Linked DNA regions of Alligator mississippiensis. The protein of the gene in region 1 purifies or fractionates together with the protein of each later gene. This does not show direct contact. Links are inferred from orthologs where the notes say so. Each region holds a gene or a part of one and is shown in the gene's direction. Other genes may lie near its edges.

Evidence for each region.
Region 2: the proteins of PIM1 (region 1) and EDC3 purify together in Homo sapiens (affinity purification with mass spectrometry; 3 studies listed by BioGRID and IntAct, counting the BioPlex papers as one, with this or other methods). This does not show direct contact. The link is inferred for Alligator mississippiensis from reciprocal best matches to the Homo sapiens genes PIM1 and EDC3.

What each region holds. Positions count from the first base shown.
Region 1 is NC_081837.1:35,905,932-35,914,705, forward strand, and holds the start of PIM1 (serine/threonine-protein kinase pim-1), read left to right. Parts: upstream 1-5,366; 5' UTR 5,367-5,528; coding exon 5,529-5,610; intron 5,611-5,847; coding exon 5,848-5,954; intron 5,955-6,046; coding exon 6,047-6,097; intron 6,098-6,208; coding exon 6,209-6,575; intron 6,576-8,506; coding exon 8,507-8,683; intron 8,684-8,774. UniProt on the Homo sapiens protein: Proto-oncogene with serine/threonine kinase activity involved in cell survival and cell proliferation and thus providing a selective advantage in tumorigenesis.
Region 2 is NC_081834.1:41,705,386-41,713,273, forward strand, and holds the start of EDC3 (enhancer of mRNA-decapping protein 3), read left to right. Parts: upstream 1-4,287; 5' UTR 4,288-4,444; intron 4,445-4,537; exon of another isoform or gene 4,538-4,862; intron 4,863-7,888. UniProt on the Homo sapiens protein: Binds single-stranded RNA. Involved in the process of mRNA degradation and in the positive regulation of mRNA decapping. May play a role in spermiogenesis and oogenesis.

The sequences.
Region 1 (8,774 bases):
GGTTGGAAAAAGGGAAATGCTAAATGCATCCGCCTAGGCCTGGGTTTGCGTGAACAGGAGCTTTCAGACACAATTTAGTCCATCTGGGGAAAATATACGCTGTCTTATGGAACACCTGAAGATTGCAAAATAAGTCTGGGCCTTCAGCTAGAAACTAGCAGGCCCATACCACCTGTGTCTGCATGGCTCAGGGCGGAGATAATGGGAGCTAGCTCCTTTCCGCTCTCCATTGCCAGTTCAAACCCAGTATAGATCAATGGTGATTGAAGCCCTCGGGTGGCCATTTCATAGGGCGAGTGCAATAAGTATGGAGGACTTGCTCTTCCTCCAAGGCCTTGTCTGCATTAGGGGTTGACCCCAGACACGAGTGGACCATTGCTGTCACAGCAGTAGTCCGATCCCTTAGCAGAGACTGGCAAAGCTATTCTCAGACACAGTTCATACCGGTGCATCTGCCAAGCAAAGGTGCCAGTCAGCTTTGTCTGTTTGCCCTGACACTAAGAGGCATGTGGCAATGGGGTGAAATCTTCAGGCAGACCTCCAGAACGCATGGCCGCATCTGCCGATCTACGCTGCCCTTGGACCTCAGCGGAGCCAGGCTGCTTTACGCCACCTGAGGATTTTGTCCCTAGCATCTGCATTCAGGAGCAGCACTGCTACATTTGAGGCTAATTAGCAGTTTCAACAGAGAGGCAGAGGAGGATGTACTAGCCTTTCTTCTCTGGAGGCGGTCCCTCCGGCAGGTCAGAAGGAAGGCACGCTGGTAGGACAGCTTGCCCTGGTACTCCCTCGGCTATCCGTGTTGGTAAATAAAGAACCACTGGTTCTAGGGCAGTCAGCTTGCTACCTTTCATCATCGCTGTATGGCATGCAATAATTAGCACGGGCCCGAGTCTGAGGAACTTACTTCCATCGCTGAGTGCTTACTCACGCCTATTGACTTAAAGAAGATGACTTGTGGGAATAACTAATAATAGATACAATCTTTTTTTTTTCCAGTCTTGCATCACTCGAAAATGGCTGCATTAGATGTTTTTCAAACTTTCCAACAACAAAAATTTTCACCTTGGCCAGAGAGCGAGCCTAAAAACTTTCAGCACCCAGAAAAGGGTGTTTTTGAAAGCTATGAGTCAGTCAAAAACAGGAGGTGGTAACTGCAATGTGTTTTACAGACTTGACTACAGTGTGCGGTACTTGAGGGAGAGGATAACATGGCAGTGGTTTGGAGGCACTACGTGGCCATCCATTAGTGAACCCAACGTATCGAATCAGAGTATGTCTCACATCTTATGTATTTATGCCATTTGGAGTGGGAGTATCTACACAGCCACTTTAAGGTGTAACGCTTTTGTTGGACCTCTAATTGCTTTGTGGGCCACTTCCAGAAATTGTGTGAGCATTTGTTTCCCTTTAGCAAAATACTTCTCCAGAAAGCAAGGATACTCAGCCTTAGGAAAATATTTAATCTCAACTCTAAAATGCCCTTAAAAGTCGCTCCCACCATGTGCAGCCTGTCTCTGGACAACTACAGTGTTTGAGATTAGAACTCTCTTTGCAACTATTTTATTCTGTGTAATCTTTGAAAATCAATTGTGGAGTTTTGTTTTGACTCAGCAAGGAGCCTGAGCCGCTGTGTGTTTTTTTAAATAGCAAAAGAAAACAGCGCTCACCAGAATTTCCAGTAAAACCCGTTAGATTTAAGCAATTCATTCTCCAAGTATGTGTGGGATGCTGGGAGCTCCCTGGTCTGCTCGGGCAAAATAGCCCAGATGGACTTCATCTGTAATAATTTAGCTCCCAGTGGCTGGAGCTCTTTGCTCTAAATGCTAATAGAGTGAGTAATCAGAAACCTACATCCAGTAAATTATTTATCTTATCTCTGGAACTCAGCAAAGCATCTCAGCCAGCGACTTCTGTGGAAAAAATGTTGGTCAAGAACCCCCGCTGGAATCTCCACTTTTACTAGAAAAGGGAAAAGTTCAGACACCAGTTTGCCTGCATGCATCAGGAAGCAATGAAGTAATGGCAATAATAGCCAAGACCAATCCAAACCAACTTCATCGGAACAGTAAAATGGGTCTGGCTTGTGTTGCTGATGCCAACCTTGACAGGCACTGTTACCAAACAGTCCTCTAATACTAAAAGTCAAGCAGCCTTGTAGATTTTTTCCCTTGGATTTGGACCAATAAAAGACGCACCATGTTCCCATAGAACAGATCAGAAATGGCCTCAACTGCTCCCGCTACATCCCTCCCTTTGCCAAAGCAAACAGCAAATTCGTCGTTTGACTCGACTGCCATCATCTACCGATGGCAATTATACCGCCTCCTTTAGCACGGTACGTAAGACGCTTGTAATCATGCATGTATTTATCCCCACAAGGCAGGGTGCCATTATCCCCATTTTACAGATGGGAAACAGCAAGGCTAAGGGATTTGCCCAAGGTCGAACAAGAAGTCTGAAGCAAAGCAGGGGCTTGAACCTAGGTCACCTCCTTGATTTAGTCTCATTTCCTCATCCCTTTCGTTCTGTTCATAGAGGCTGTATCCCAGCTACCCTTCACACCAAACATATTGCCCTACTGTGCCAAGGCACAGTGAAACAACCTTCAAAGCAACCAGCCTTTGCTTTTCTCAGAAAACCCCTGGGAGCACTCATCTCTCTTCAGCCTCCCAGTATTTCTGATCAAATTCAGACTGACTTCTGCACCAAGAAACAATTGAAAATAACCTTCTCTACATAGCTGTGGACCTGTTCCACCCTGTTGACCCAGGCTGAGTCAGTCTCCTTATACCCTTCGACCTCGGTGCACTGCGTGACACTTCCTTCTTGGAAAGCTTCGAACAAAACACTGGCATTGCTGGCTTTCTCCTCACCTGGCTGGCATTGCTGCTCCCTCTGTGCCTGCTTAGTCCCGGGTCCTCCAGCTAGACTGCATGGGGAACCTCAAAGCTCTCTTCTCACCCACCTCCTTATTCCAGTCTACCATCTGCCATTGTTTCAATCTAACCCTGCCTAGATCTATAGGGCTATGACACCTAACTCAACACCTTTCAATTTTACACCGACTCCTCTGTCAACTTCCTCTCTCCATCTGAACTTCCTCTGACAGAAATTCAGGAACTTCTGCACCAAGGTTCTCCGGAGCAAATGCAGCATAAACTCATTGATTTTCTGTAGTATTTTCTACTGCCAAAGACAGCGGCCAAGTTATGGAGGAAGGGGAACCATGCCACTTTCTAATTTTTGGAATATTTTGTGGAAAGCCTCAGGCATTATGTTGCATCATCAGCAGGAACATCTCTTTTTTTCTGCAGAAAGAAAGCAAGAAGAGGATAGGAAAAAAGCAAGAGGACGTGAGTGACTGGTGCCTCCTGAATCTGGGGGGGCACCCGCAGAAGCCACTGACAGTGGCAGCCCTGTCAGGGCAGGCACCAGCTGTACCGACAGTCAGTGTTGGCCATTGGGGGGGCACCAGCCCTGCTGGGGGGGCACGTGCACCCCCTACCAGTCACCTATGCACCTATCCCACTAAGGATATCCTGCACAGAGAATGCCTCACTCTTACTCCTTTGTCCTGACCGAATCCCCCACACTGGTATTCAGGGAGGAAAGGGAGGAGAGCTGCTATACCAGCCTATCCCACCTGAAATTCTTGCTAAGAAAGAGTAATTCCCAGTATTTCCCAAAAAGCGGCTTCCTAGCAGGGTAGTTGCACCGAAGAGATTCAAAACAACCAATACTGGGTGACAGAATCTAGATCCTAATACCAGTACTATGACATAGTCATAAGTTTAAGGGGATCCAAGACCTGAAAGTATTGACAAGGACTAAATGAATACTGCCTTCTCCATTGCCTTGCTTGCAGTCAGGTCTGCAAGATGCAGTGAGCCCTAACGCGCGTTGCAGCAAATTCTCATTTGATAGTGTTTTTACCCAGCAAAAAAACAAATGCAAGGCATGAAGGAATTTTTAACATGCAATCTATGCTGAGCATTTGTGTTTCATTCACCTTTGCACTGTTTTCATGTGATGGAGACCAGTCAATCTCACTTGTGTTTATAGCAAGTTTCGCTTTCGGGTTTCTGCAGTGTTTGCTTTGCAAGCACTGCTGGGAAGTGTTTGCTTGTTTTAAAAACAGTTGTTCCTGTTGGGACTTGTTTAAAGTCAAAATATTGCGGAAACGTTTCGGCTGGCCTTCGCTTTTGCAGCAGCTCCTTCATGCAAAATACGCGCTTGGAGGCCCCATCTGAGATGCCATTTGCCTATTAAAGGCTGCATTGAGCCTTCTCTACCTGGATACATACCAAAGGGTGCATATCACAACCCTGGACCCTGAACTTAGACCGGGACAATAAGCACACGATTGCTTCTTAGGAGCGATTTGAAAAAAGACGCGCCTGCCAGGCTGCAACAAGAGGTGGGGATGGCAGATGCTGCCTTGGAGAAGTCAACGAAGCGGGCTCCATGCCGTTTACCACATCTTATTTATGAGCGCATGTATATGGTGACAGAGGGTGGCCATCATAGAGGATGGTCCGGTTTTCTGCTACTCTGTCCTCTATTGATACCAAACCCGACGCCTTTATTTCTCTTCAAGAGAAGAGCAGAGGACACAAAGGCACCCGGTTTCGTATAATAGAGGACAACTGGACTGTCCTGCATGATGGCCACCCTAGGCACACGTGTGGTCGGGCCACAGACCAAGCGGTGAAGGGGAATTGAAGGAGCTCCTTGGCCAGAAGCTCTCCAGCAGGGGAGGCCTGCGCATCGGCGCTTCCGGAGCAGCCGCCCCGACTCTACGCAAGGCTGGGAGGAGCTGACCCTGAAATCCCTGCCGAGCTCCACCACCCTGCTGATGCAAGGGGGGCCACCGGCGCCACAGCCTCCCATGGCTGTGTCCCCCATAGGTATGCTGTGCACCTGGGATTGTGTCTGGAGGGCCCAAGGGAGGCACCGTGCAGAGACAGAGGGGACAGCGCCCCTGCCCCTCAGGATTAAGGGGGTGCAGTGGGGGTTTGCCCTTAAAATCAAGGGAGTTTGCTCCTTAAAATCAAAGGGGTGCAGTGGGGGCTTGGCCCTTTAAATTGAGGGGGCGCCCCCGCAGCACGTGCTGGGGCACGGGGCTCCCCTGCCCGCCCCTCTCTTGGCGCCTTTTCCTTCCCGCCACGTCTCGAGCCCGCCCTCCCCATTCTGACGGGCGGGGAAAGCCACGCGCCGCCCCTGATTGGCTGCGGCGCCCCCCCCCGCCCCCGCCGCCAGGCCCCGCCCCGCGGCTGTCCCCGGCCCCGCCCCCCGCGCTCCCCTCCCCCCGTTACTACAGGCTGCCGGAGCGGGCGCCGGCGCCACACGGGAGCACGGCACCGCGCGGAGCACCCGCCGCTGCCGCCGCCCCGCCCCGCCCCGCCGCCAACCCGCTGCAGCCGCCGCCCCGCCTCGGCCCCGAGCCGAGCCCAACCGACCCGCTGGCGCCCGGCGCGGTTCGGGCGGTGCCGGTGCCGGTGCCGGAGCAGGGCGACAGCGCGGGGATGCTGCTGTCCAAGATCAACTCCCTGGCGCACCTCTGCTCCGCGCCGCCCGGCGACCTGCACCCGGCCAAGCTGCCGCCAGGTGAGCCCGGGGCTCGCCCGCACCCACTCCGCAGTGGCCTCGGGGCCGTGCAGCCAGGTGTCGGGGGAGTGCATCCGGATCGGATCCGGGGGGGTCATGCTAATCAAATCCGGATTGCACGGTGGGGGGGAGGTGATCCGGATTGGGGCCTGGGGGTAACGCAGATTGGGTTCAGTCGGGTGCGTGCGGTTGCTCCGGATGGGCTGGTGCTGACCCCGCTTGTGCCCTGGCCCGCAGGGAAGGAGAAGGAGCCGCTGGAGAAGCTGTACCAGGTGGGCTCGCTGCTGGGCAGCGGCGGCTTCGGCTCGGTCTACTCGGGCACCCGCCTGTCCGACAGCGCCCCGGTGAGTGCTCGCCGCCTGCGCCCCCCTCCTTCTGCGCCTCCCGCTTGCCCCCGGCCGGCTCTGTCTGACGCGTGGTTGTGTTTGGGTTGCAGGTGGCCATCAAGCACGTGGCTCGGGACCGCATCTCGGACTGGGGAGAGCTGGTAAGTGGGGGAGACGAGGGCGCCCAGCACCCCGGCGCGGCCTGGCACGGCACGGCGCCGGCCGCTGAGCCCTCCCGCCCGTGCTGACGAGCTCTCTGCTCTCTGTGCTAGCCCGGCGGCACCCGCGTGCCCATGGAAATCCTGCTGCTGAAGAAGGTGGGCTCCGGCTTCCGCGGCGTGATCCGGCTCCTGGACTGGTTCGAGAGGCCCGACAGCTTCGTCCTGGTGCTGGAGCGGCCCGACCCCGTGCAGGATCTGTTCGACTTCATCACGGAGCGGGGGGCCCTGGCCGAGGAGCTGGCCCGCGGCTTCTTCCGCCAGGTCCTGGAGGCCGTCCGGCACTGTCACAGCTGCGGGGTCCTGCACCGGGATATCAAGGACGAGAACATCCTCATTGACCTGAACAGCGGAGAACTGAAGCTGATCGATTTTGGGTCCGGAGCCTTGCTCAAGGACACGGTGTACACTGATTTCGACGGTGAGCGACTCTTTCCATCCCCCTCATGTTTTACCTGCGTAGAGAGGAAGCCGGGGAAATTCCTCTTAGAAACGGGTTGTTCCCTCCCCCTGCCTAGTCAGTAATTTCCCAGCCGGGGAATGAGCTCGCTTTCTCTGTGCTGGCGTGGTTATCGGCTAAATCTATTTTGCTGGAAGCATCGCCTCTCCGAGACCTCTCAGGCTTGTCTCCCTGCCCTGTCCCCACATAACATTTCCCGCTAGGCGTCATGCCAGACATCGGTGGTGGCTGCCTGTCACGCAGGGGCTGCGTCTCCTTGGGCAACATGGCAGAGACCGGGGCTGAACTCGCTGGCAGGCTGATGCCTCTGTGAGCCCTGAGGATGGAGAAAGTTGAAGTCTGGGGCTCGGTTTGGTCCTGATGGACCCATTTCCCACCCCCGGGTCCATCTCTCCTGTAGCATAGGTTGGGGAAAGATTGAGTGAAAACCTGTCTGCAGCCATGCTGCTCTGATTCGGATCCTAACCTCATCTGGCAGCTAGAAAGCGAGGGAGAGGATATTGTTTTTCCTCTCCCAGGCTTGAGAGAGAGAGAGAAAGGGCTCTCGTGCTGTTTCCTTCCAGTGATGGATGGCCTTCAATATGGGGAGGGGGGCCACGAGGAGAAGGAAGCTGCCGCCTCCGCCATCTCGCTAAATTATTCATTTCGCTGGAAAGTTGCTTTTTGTCGGGGATGTATGTTGTGAAATTGGAGCTGAGGGAGATCTGCTTACAGCCGGCTCCCTTTCTGCCGCAGAAAGGCACCCGGGCCTTTGCCCTTTTTGTATTGGGGGGGAGCGTGGCTCGTGGGGAAAAGCATTTGACCTTTGAGCTTGGGCTCGGGCTTGCCCAGTGGGTGACGTAGGAGATTATTCCACCGTATATTCCGGCTTCTTCGGCGGAGGGCGGTTAATCTGCAAAACCCCCGCGTGTTGCCTGGGGTTTGTTTTGCTCCTGCCTCTTCAAATGGCTTGGCCTGCGCTGCATTTTTTGTTTTTAATGTAACGGTTAATGACCAGGGCTGGGTTCTTCCTCCCGCGGAATTTCTCGAGCTGGTGATGCCCCCTGGCGGGGCACCGGGGATCTTTTTACAACCGAAAGTTTGTAAACAAGAGTCACGTGGCCAGAAACCAGACTAGCAGCTCTGACCTCAGTCTCCTCTTCCTGCCAGAAGGGAAGAGATCAGATACAACAAAAGGCGAAGGGTGTAAGCCTCTGCAGCAGCAAAGCAGGCTGGAATTCGAGCCCAGCTCTAATTATCACATGCACAACTACAAACTGCTTGCCTGCCCGGGCGAAACTGCTCCCTTGATGTTGAACAACAAACGTTACTTCATCGCTTAGGAGTGGGCTGGCCTCACGTGCGGCTGACTGTATTCCCTTTTATGGGGTAGGCTGCTATACAGTCTAGCAAGCCGCCTCCTCTCTGGGATGTAAATGATATTGCCATATTTGCCCAGCAGAGCCTTTTATGGAGAACTGATTGAAAGGTTGCCTGGATCCCTTTTTTGATGCAGTAGATGAGGTCTCAACCCTTGGATGCTGGGTGACTGGACTGAAGCATTGGCAGTCTGGCTTCAGGAGATGCAGTTAAGGGTCTCAAGTCCATTAAAGCTGGAAAGTGTGGTTGCTGCTTGTGTTTTGTTTGGTCCTGCTTCACTTCGGGGCCATGTTCCTAAGCACAGCCCTGCAGTCACCAGGAGCTTTGCACTGTCAAACTACCTGTACTGAAGCTTCACACTTGAGTTATTGCAACCTAAAGCCTGGAGCTTCAGCTACCTGACTTGCTGTCTTGAAGCCACATTCATGCCGTTGATTAATTCAGTCGGCTTTTAATCATTCCTGTTTTTGTTCTGATGCCTAGGCTTAGACCAAACACTTTCCTTATAGCGAGTTTTTGCTCTTGTCTTGCAGGCACAAGAGTGTACAGCCCCCCAGAATGGATTCGCTACCACAGGTACCATGGCAGATCAGCTGCAGTTTGGTCACTGGGCGTCCTGCTTTACGACATGGTCTGTGGGGACATCCCTTTTGAACATGATGAGGAGATTGTGAGGGGCCAGGTTTACTTCCGGCAAAGGATTTCACCAGGTGAGTGCTCCCCACTGTGCTAGGGGAGGGAAGCCAGCTGCTTACCCTGCATGCAGCAGTCACTCAGGGATAATCTGTGATGCCATAAATG
Region 2 (7,888 bases), on another chromosome or scaffold:
TGCCATAGGGAAAACGTTAATGGTGTCAGTGACAATTTATTGCTCTTTCCTTCATTTTCAAGGTTTTGGCATGAACATTTTCTATCCAGATTAATCTACTGTCTGTTTTTATAGATCTCAACAAGGCAGGCTCAGGCTCTCTCTATGCATAGAGAGACTTTAACTATATTCAAGCCTAATTCAGTACCTACTGCCATCAGTGGGGAATTTTTGACCCTCTGTGGATCAGAGCCATGTCCCCATCCAGCTCCTGCTTGCACAAAAATCGGGAGTAAGACTATTAAGTTCAATAGTACTCTGTTAGTGTAAAACAGCCTTGTCCATAGTTGAGGGGCAATTTCTTTTTAACAGGATCCTTCTTGGAGTATGTTAGCTTCTCAGAAACTTGTCCAAGCTTTCCTGTCTAGTACTGAAACAGCCTCCCTTCCCCCCCCCCCGAATTATGCATGTGTTTCTAGACTGCAACTTCACTTCTCTATTTCTGGGTACTGTTACTTTGGCTCCTTTCATAACTTCCTTTTCAAAATGGTCACAACATACTAGCGACTGGAATTTGGCTATAAATATGGATTGCATGACCATGGTTGGCCAATTCCCAAAAAGCAAAGCGTGACATATCATTCTTAAGCCATCAACCACCAGGCTACAAGGAGAAGAACCAGTGGGAATCTGATTTCTCCCTTGCACTTAAATACATACCTAACTTTGTGCATACAGTTCTAGGGATCTTGCATAAGCAACCTTGCTGTTCACCTTGCACATAATTTTGTGGATATAATTATATATGCACTACTTCTTAAATCTACCGGTTGATAGAATTATCATACTTGACAGTAATTAGTACAAATTAATTAGCATTTGAGTATGGACTTGTTCAGAGCCCATATGGGTTCTCTAACAAGCCAAAGCCACTAAACTTGTTAAAACAGATGCTGCTTCAGTGAAAGCACCTGTTGCCTCAAACAGGCAGTGAACATTCCCTTTCAGTGTAAATAATGGGAAATGCTTCTTCTACTGTGCTGTAGGAAATGAGATCCTATGTATAGTTAAAGTAGCATCCATGCCGTGATGCTTGGAAATTACTATTGGATATCACAAGTCCATAACTTCTAGGCTTTTTAGTTTTTTTGATTCTACATCTAGTTGAATAGCAAAGCTTGAATATTTCAGTGATGTCTCCCTTGCTGAAGAGGCAAGCCTTTTAATCACATACTCCAATAATTCTCAGCTAGCCTAGCTTCGTGATTAGTGTGATTGGTTTTTCAACTGAAAATGCATGCCAGGAAGCACATTCCTCTCTCAAAGTGAAGTGTACTTCTGGGAAGAATGTCTGTTGAAGTCAACCACATTAGTCCTATTTTGACAATGTAAAATGGTGCATAAGTATTTGGCTAATGTCAAAGTAAAGTTTTGCAGTTTATGGACTAACAGCTCCATAAATGGATTAGAAATTGAAGAAAACAGATTTCAGACAACCCACCCTAACAGTTCACAAGCCCATTTGCAAAAAATTGGGATGAATTAGCAAATGATTTACTAATCCAAACAGTTGCTAATTTAAAAACAATATTTTGGATTTTTTTTCCTTACAGCTGGTCAAACAATTCATTAAGTACTGAATACAGAGCAAATATTGATTACTGCCTGAAGTGTTTGCTGCTTAAACTTAAACAAAAATGTTACAGAAACCATGCCCTAGTTCCTTGCACTGAGGAGAGGGTGATGGAAAGTCAACTAAAGAAAATAAATATAAAGAGATTAAGATTTTAATTACTCAACAGAAAAAAATATTCCAAAATAGAAGATAGTTTAATAGGAACTAGGGCATATAGAATTATTCATTTGGAGTATAGTACATCACTAACCTATATGTAGCATATGGGCATTTTATTAAATTAGCTGGAGGATGGTGTCTTTGCAATCACTTTCTTAAACGGCTAGATGAAATAATGTGTCCCCTTAGAAGGTCAGAGAATCTATTCCACAATGACCTTTATTACCACTGTTAATTCAGCTACTGTAATCATTTTGTTCTTTATACAGTCAGAAGCTCAGTTTTAAATTGGCAAGATCAGCAAGTTCACAAGTAAAGTGCACAGCTTTTTTTCTTTAGAAAATTATGAGCAAAACAAGATATGGTCATTTTCCTGACTCTGTCAATCAAAAGGTTGATTTTAATAAAAATGAAGGGGAACAGAGAGATGACAGGGATTTTATAAAGAAAAATCTGATAGAAAGATGAGAGGCTAGTAATATGCAAAAACTGGGGTTCATTTTGCAAGGTCATCAGCGGGATTTTGTTACTGCAAAACAAAATCTAAACAAAACCTAGGTTCTGTTTAATCCATACCTCTCCAAAATTGAGATGAAAAATGAGGGGTAAAATGTTTCTGAATCTGGTCCGCTCCCCAGTGTTCTCATGTGACAGACTATTCCTGCACCTGAGTTGTGGTTGTTGGGCATGTCTGGCAACCGAAAAACTCTATTTTCTGATTCTTACTGGTCCATGAGCGAGAGAGAATTGTAATGCATTTTCTAATCTTGCATTTCTATCTGGGAGTCAGATACAGCAGCCAAATAAGCTTGAAATAATTATACCCAACCTATGTGTAACAGCTGGTAGATGTGCCCTGTACCCACTCATACATGAAATTTTGCTACACCTACTTATACAGGGTAGGAGGTGGCAGCTAGAGCCTCTTATTCCAGTGCATTTCATAAAACATTGGGTGAGTCTTGGAGAACTTCCAGAAACAATGGAACTAGAAAAGTCTTAGAAGCTTATTCAATGTGTAGCTGACCTTAACATCAACAACACTATAAATCTAGGCCAGATTGGCAGGCTTTGGGATGGCAGAACTCCCAATATTAAATGAAGCTAGAAATTCAGAACCTGCATTACAGGCAGTGATAAAAGCTGCTGTGAAAGATGATTCTTTGGGCCAATTCAGGCACAACCTCAAATGTGTACTGAAAAGGCAATCAGGACTTGTAGTAGAGATGATATATTTTATTACACCAAGATTTTTGCAAAAAAAAAAAAAATGTTTTAGTTGCAAGCTTTCAGGCACAAACACATTATGATAAATTCATGAAACAATACATCAATAAACACTGGTGTTCTTGACCCAGAAGCTCACGGCCCCAAAGTAGGAATATCGCTTTCTCGTGTTTTACGGTCAACCCAGTCCAGCCAGAGTTCCCAGATGTAATGGTGATGTAATAATGGTGATGTAATTGAGTCACAGAACAGGAGGGCTGGGAGGGACATCAGGAGGTCACATCTAATCCAACCCCCTGCTCAAAGCAGAACGAGCCCATTTTATTTCTCATGCAGCAGGGGATGAAATCCCCTTCGTTAACAGGTCAATGTGTCCATGAAAATAAAAATGTTGCCTTGCTTCATTTAAATCACTTCCAAGGCAGCCTGCATGGCCCGGCCGTGACTAGAAAACAAATTCCTTTAATAGAGCGGGTGGTGAGCCAACCTTACGGGAAGGGAAGGGGCGTGATTTATGAGGCCTAAGGAGTGTTGAAGTTTAAGGAAGTAGGGTGGACTTGTTTTTGGAGTGAGTAATGGGCTAATACGTGAGCACCCTGCCTTGTGCTCTGAACGCGATGGTTTTCTAGGGCACCAGATGGCAGCTGATCGTTTTAGTCACTAGGCCGAGCTCAGCCTTGCTAAAGCGTGGGGCTACAAGACACGTGTTGCGTGTGTAGCTGTGCAATGAGACCACCAAATCAGAGGCGCCCTGCCTGCGGAGACGCGGGTGCCCCGTGGTGTTTCGGAGGGAGGCTTGGCCGAGTCCCAGCCCTGCGCGTAGGTGCCAGGAGGCTGCTCCTTTGCCCCGTGTGAAAGCCAGGGAGCCCCTGCTTGGGGAGCGCGTGCCTCTCAGGTGCGCCCAGGGTGCCGAGCCCAGCAGCAGGCGCCAGGCTGGCTCGCTCATCCCTTGGTGGATGCCAGCCCTTTCCGCACCCACGGGCCCTGCCCCTCCACCGGCACTCAGTGATGACCGCTGAAGGGGGGAGGGGTGACCCCACTGCACTGAGCGACCCCCTCAGCACCTGACCGGCAGGCCATAGGATGGCAGGTGCCGGAGTCTGCGGTACACTAGGACTCCCTGTGCCACGTGGCTCTGTGGGGGCTGTGAGGGGTCTCGCAGCTGAGCGCGGTGGGCGGAGACACCGCACGCCCCACCCCCACCCGCAGGCGGTAGACTTCTGCGCATGCGCACACCGACCCTCTCGAGCCCATGATGCGGTGGCGGCGTTATTCTAAGCTCCGATTGGCGGCTAGAGTGTACCCCCCGCCCCGGGCTGATGGGGTGGGGGGTTAGGGTTGGTGCTCTCGGATTGGAGTTCTGGCGGAGGCGGAAGTGACGGCACGACGCAGCGCAGCGGACAGGAGACGTTTCCGGTGTGCGTCGGGGCTGCTACGGAGCTGGTGAGAGAGGCGGGGAGCGAGCGGCGGGACTCGGGCGCGGCCCCTCCCCCGCCTTGGCCTTGGCCTTTCCCAGGGCGGAGTGCTCCTGGGGGGTGGCCCTGGCCCTGGCCGTCGGGGCTCAGGCTTGTGTAAGCCCCCCGCCCGGGTGAAGGAGCCTGGCCAACGCCTTGCAGCAGCCTCGCTTCTTCCTCGAGCTCCAGGGTCCTTCCTGTCCCCCCGGGTTCCTGTAATCCTCACCTCGGACGGGTCCGGCTGGGGGGCGTCTTCTCCCTCACGCTCACGGGGACCCGCCCCAGGGGAGCCGCTTGTGCTGGGTGTCGCTGGGCCCTGTTAGCATCTGCCTGCGTCGCTCCCCGTGTCGCGGGAGCGCTGGGGCAAGCCGCACGGGGCGCTGAGGAAGCCGAGCACGTTGGCACGTGTGAGGAAAAGAAGCGTCGTGAGGTTTGGGGAAGAAATGACGCTTGGATGCCAGAAGGTCTGGAGGCGCCGCCGCTACGGGGAGGAGCCCTGGGCGTTGCATCCAGAGCCTGAGGCCGGGGCGGTCCCACTCGTGGCCTCTGGCAGCCCCTGGTCCCCACCTGGCACCAGTTGCCGTAACATCCTTCTGGCCGCCACAGAGCGTTTCCTCCATCCTCCAGCTTCCACCTTGTGCCCTGCCACTGTGGCGGGGCGCGGTATGGGACACGGAGCTGTGTAGGGTTGGGGTTGCAGTGTGCGGTGCAGCAGTGGGGGGAGGCACCCACGGGGGGGGGTGCGGTGCAGCAGGGGTCATGTGTGCACACCACAGCCCCTACCAATGCTGCCCTGTGGCATGCGGCCCCCAGCGGCTTAGAAACAGCTTAAGCCAGTGCTGTCCAGTTTCTCAGTGTTTCACATTGAGAGGGAGATGGGGCAGGGGTGGGACGGGACAGGACGTGCTGTCTTGCACCTGCCTCTGCTTCTTGCACCTTCCTCTGAAGCATCTGATGTCTGCTGCTTTGGGAGGGAGAGTACTACTAGAGTAGCTGACTTTGGGTCTGGTCTAGAAGAGCAATTTTTATGAACTTTCATGTGCTAAAATAAGAGGAAAGGGAGTAGACCCTTGACCTCTACCAGTACTGAGCCATTACTCATAATTGTCAGTGGTGGATTCTCCTGAACTGGCAGTTCTCAATACTAGTAAACACTGCCTAAATCCATCTTGAGGCTTGTTATTCTGCTGTAGCACCAAATCGTTTTCTGTACCTTTTCAGTGAAGTTGGCTTGATTAAAATGGCTTTCGGTAACAATTTATCTTTAAAGCACAGCTAGCACTTTGGGTAGCCCTGCTGGCTCTTGGTGGTCTTAAGTAATTGCAGCCCAGATGGCAAAGCAGAGTTTGACTTTCCATGGGATAACTTAGCATTTAAAACTTTTACTGACATACTTATCTTGATGCTCTTTACATACCCAGAGTACTGTATGAACACAAACTATCTTGCCCCTAAGCCTGTATGACCAATACTATTCCCACTTTACAGTTGAAATAAGCTAGGCTTATTTTTAGTCGCAGGGGATATAGATAATTATATTGCAAATTACATAGTAATAGTTTTATCACCCTTCACGGATCAGTAATTGATCTATCTCTTCTAAACATTTTTTTTTTTTTTCAGACAAAAAGTATGGAATTATTCCTGTATGAATAGGAACAACTTTATCTCTAACACAGGAATTGTACTTTTAAAAAGCACAGGCAGTCAGTTGTTCAGTGGAGACACTAGCACCAATCTCTTTTTTTCTAAGTCAAATCATGGGATTGGACAAAACTTCTGTATAGACTGAATAAATTGTTGCTGATGTGTAAATGGGATATTTATTAGAGGTGCACTGATGCATCAGTTCCATATCAGATTGGCACCGATATAGGGAAAACTGACAGTTTTGGAAATCAGCTCTTTATTGGCTGCATCAGGCAAAATGTGGCTAATAAATGGCCCTTGCATGTGCACAGCAGCAGCATGCATGCGGCCAGGAACACAAGCTAGAGGGTTGGAGACCAGTGTCGGGCTGGTAAGTTTGTTGGGGGAGGGAGTGGGGCTGGGGCAGGCACTACTCCGCTGGGGTTGGGTAAAGGACAGAGCCACAAACAGCTTGTCCAGGGGATGTAGAGACAGGGTGAGGTGGCAGCTCCCACTGCTGTGTGCACCCTGTGAGGGCATAGGGGGGTGTACCCACAGACCTGCACACAGGGTGGGATAGGTTGCTCCTGTGGGATGGGGCCAGGGACTGCGAATTTTGGAGTGGTTGGAGCCCCCCCCCCCCCATTTCTCTCAGCACTGCTGCCGCCTGCCCCAAATACAGCATAACAGAGTTCAGCTTAGTGCCCCCCCCTCCCCCCCACTGGGAAGAGACCAGCATTGTCCTGCACTCACCCCACGTGCCCTCCTGGGGTGCGTGAAGTGGCAAGAGCTGCACCCCCTGGATGAGCTACTCGTGGCTCTGTTCCACACCCTGCCCCACGTCAACTGAGCAGTCCCTCCTCCACTCCCTCCCTCACCATGGGGTGGGGGAGGGGGCCCTCAATTTGCCCCCCCATGCCCCTTCCCTTCCCCCACAACAGACTTACTAGCCTGATGCTGCTCTCCAAGCTGCCTGGCTGCATATTGGAATTGGATCTGTATCGGACAATATGGCTCCTTAAAAATCGGTCATTGGTATCGGCCCAAAAAATCTCTATAGGTGGACCCCTAATATTTCTCTATCTAAACTGTACAGTACAAGCACTTATTTATGACTTTCAATTTCTTAGGTAATTAATAAGGGAACATTTACAAATAAAAAGCAAACAATGACAAGTATCATTTTATTTTTGTTTTTTAGTACTGCTTGACAGCCAGCACCCTCCCTACTCAAATCAGCTTAATTTTGGGGTAGTCACTTTCACTACTGAGTCCTCAGTACTACAGTGTTTAGGGCTTAAAGAGGTGCTAGTCAATTTAAAAAAGACTAGCAGACCTTTCTGGTGTGGCACACTGTCTCTTGTGATGCCACACTTCCTGGACACTGTTTCTGGGAGGATTCACTCTGTCACATAAGGTTAGGCCCCAGACTCTCTTGCAAAGGGCAGTGACAAGACTGTTACTACTTTTCTGTAAGTCATTTTCATAAAAGTTCCAGTAAACTGTTGTTTCCATATCAGAAACCTCATCAAGGTATTACCAGCAACTCCCTGGCTGCTTTGGGCACAAGCTGCAGTGCTCACCCAAAAGCTGTGACTGAGAGTTAACACAGGATTCTGTCCCTTGGGTTTGCTGAGCAGACACAGATGCCCTACGCAACATGCATTGTGCCTCCAGAAGTGCTCCTTTTCTAGCGAAGAAACCAGCTTTCTTGCTTAAAATGCACACTTCAATGTTGAGTGGCTGACTTGTGAGGGAAAGGTGCATGTTATGTGGTAAACGGTATTCCCCCTCTTCTCTGTCT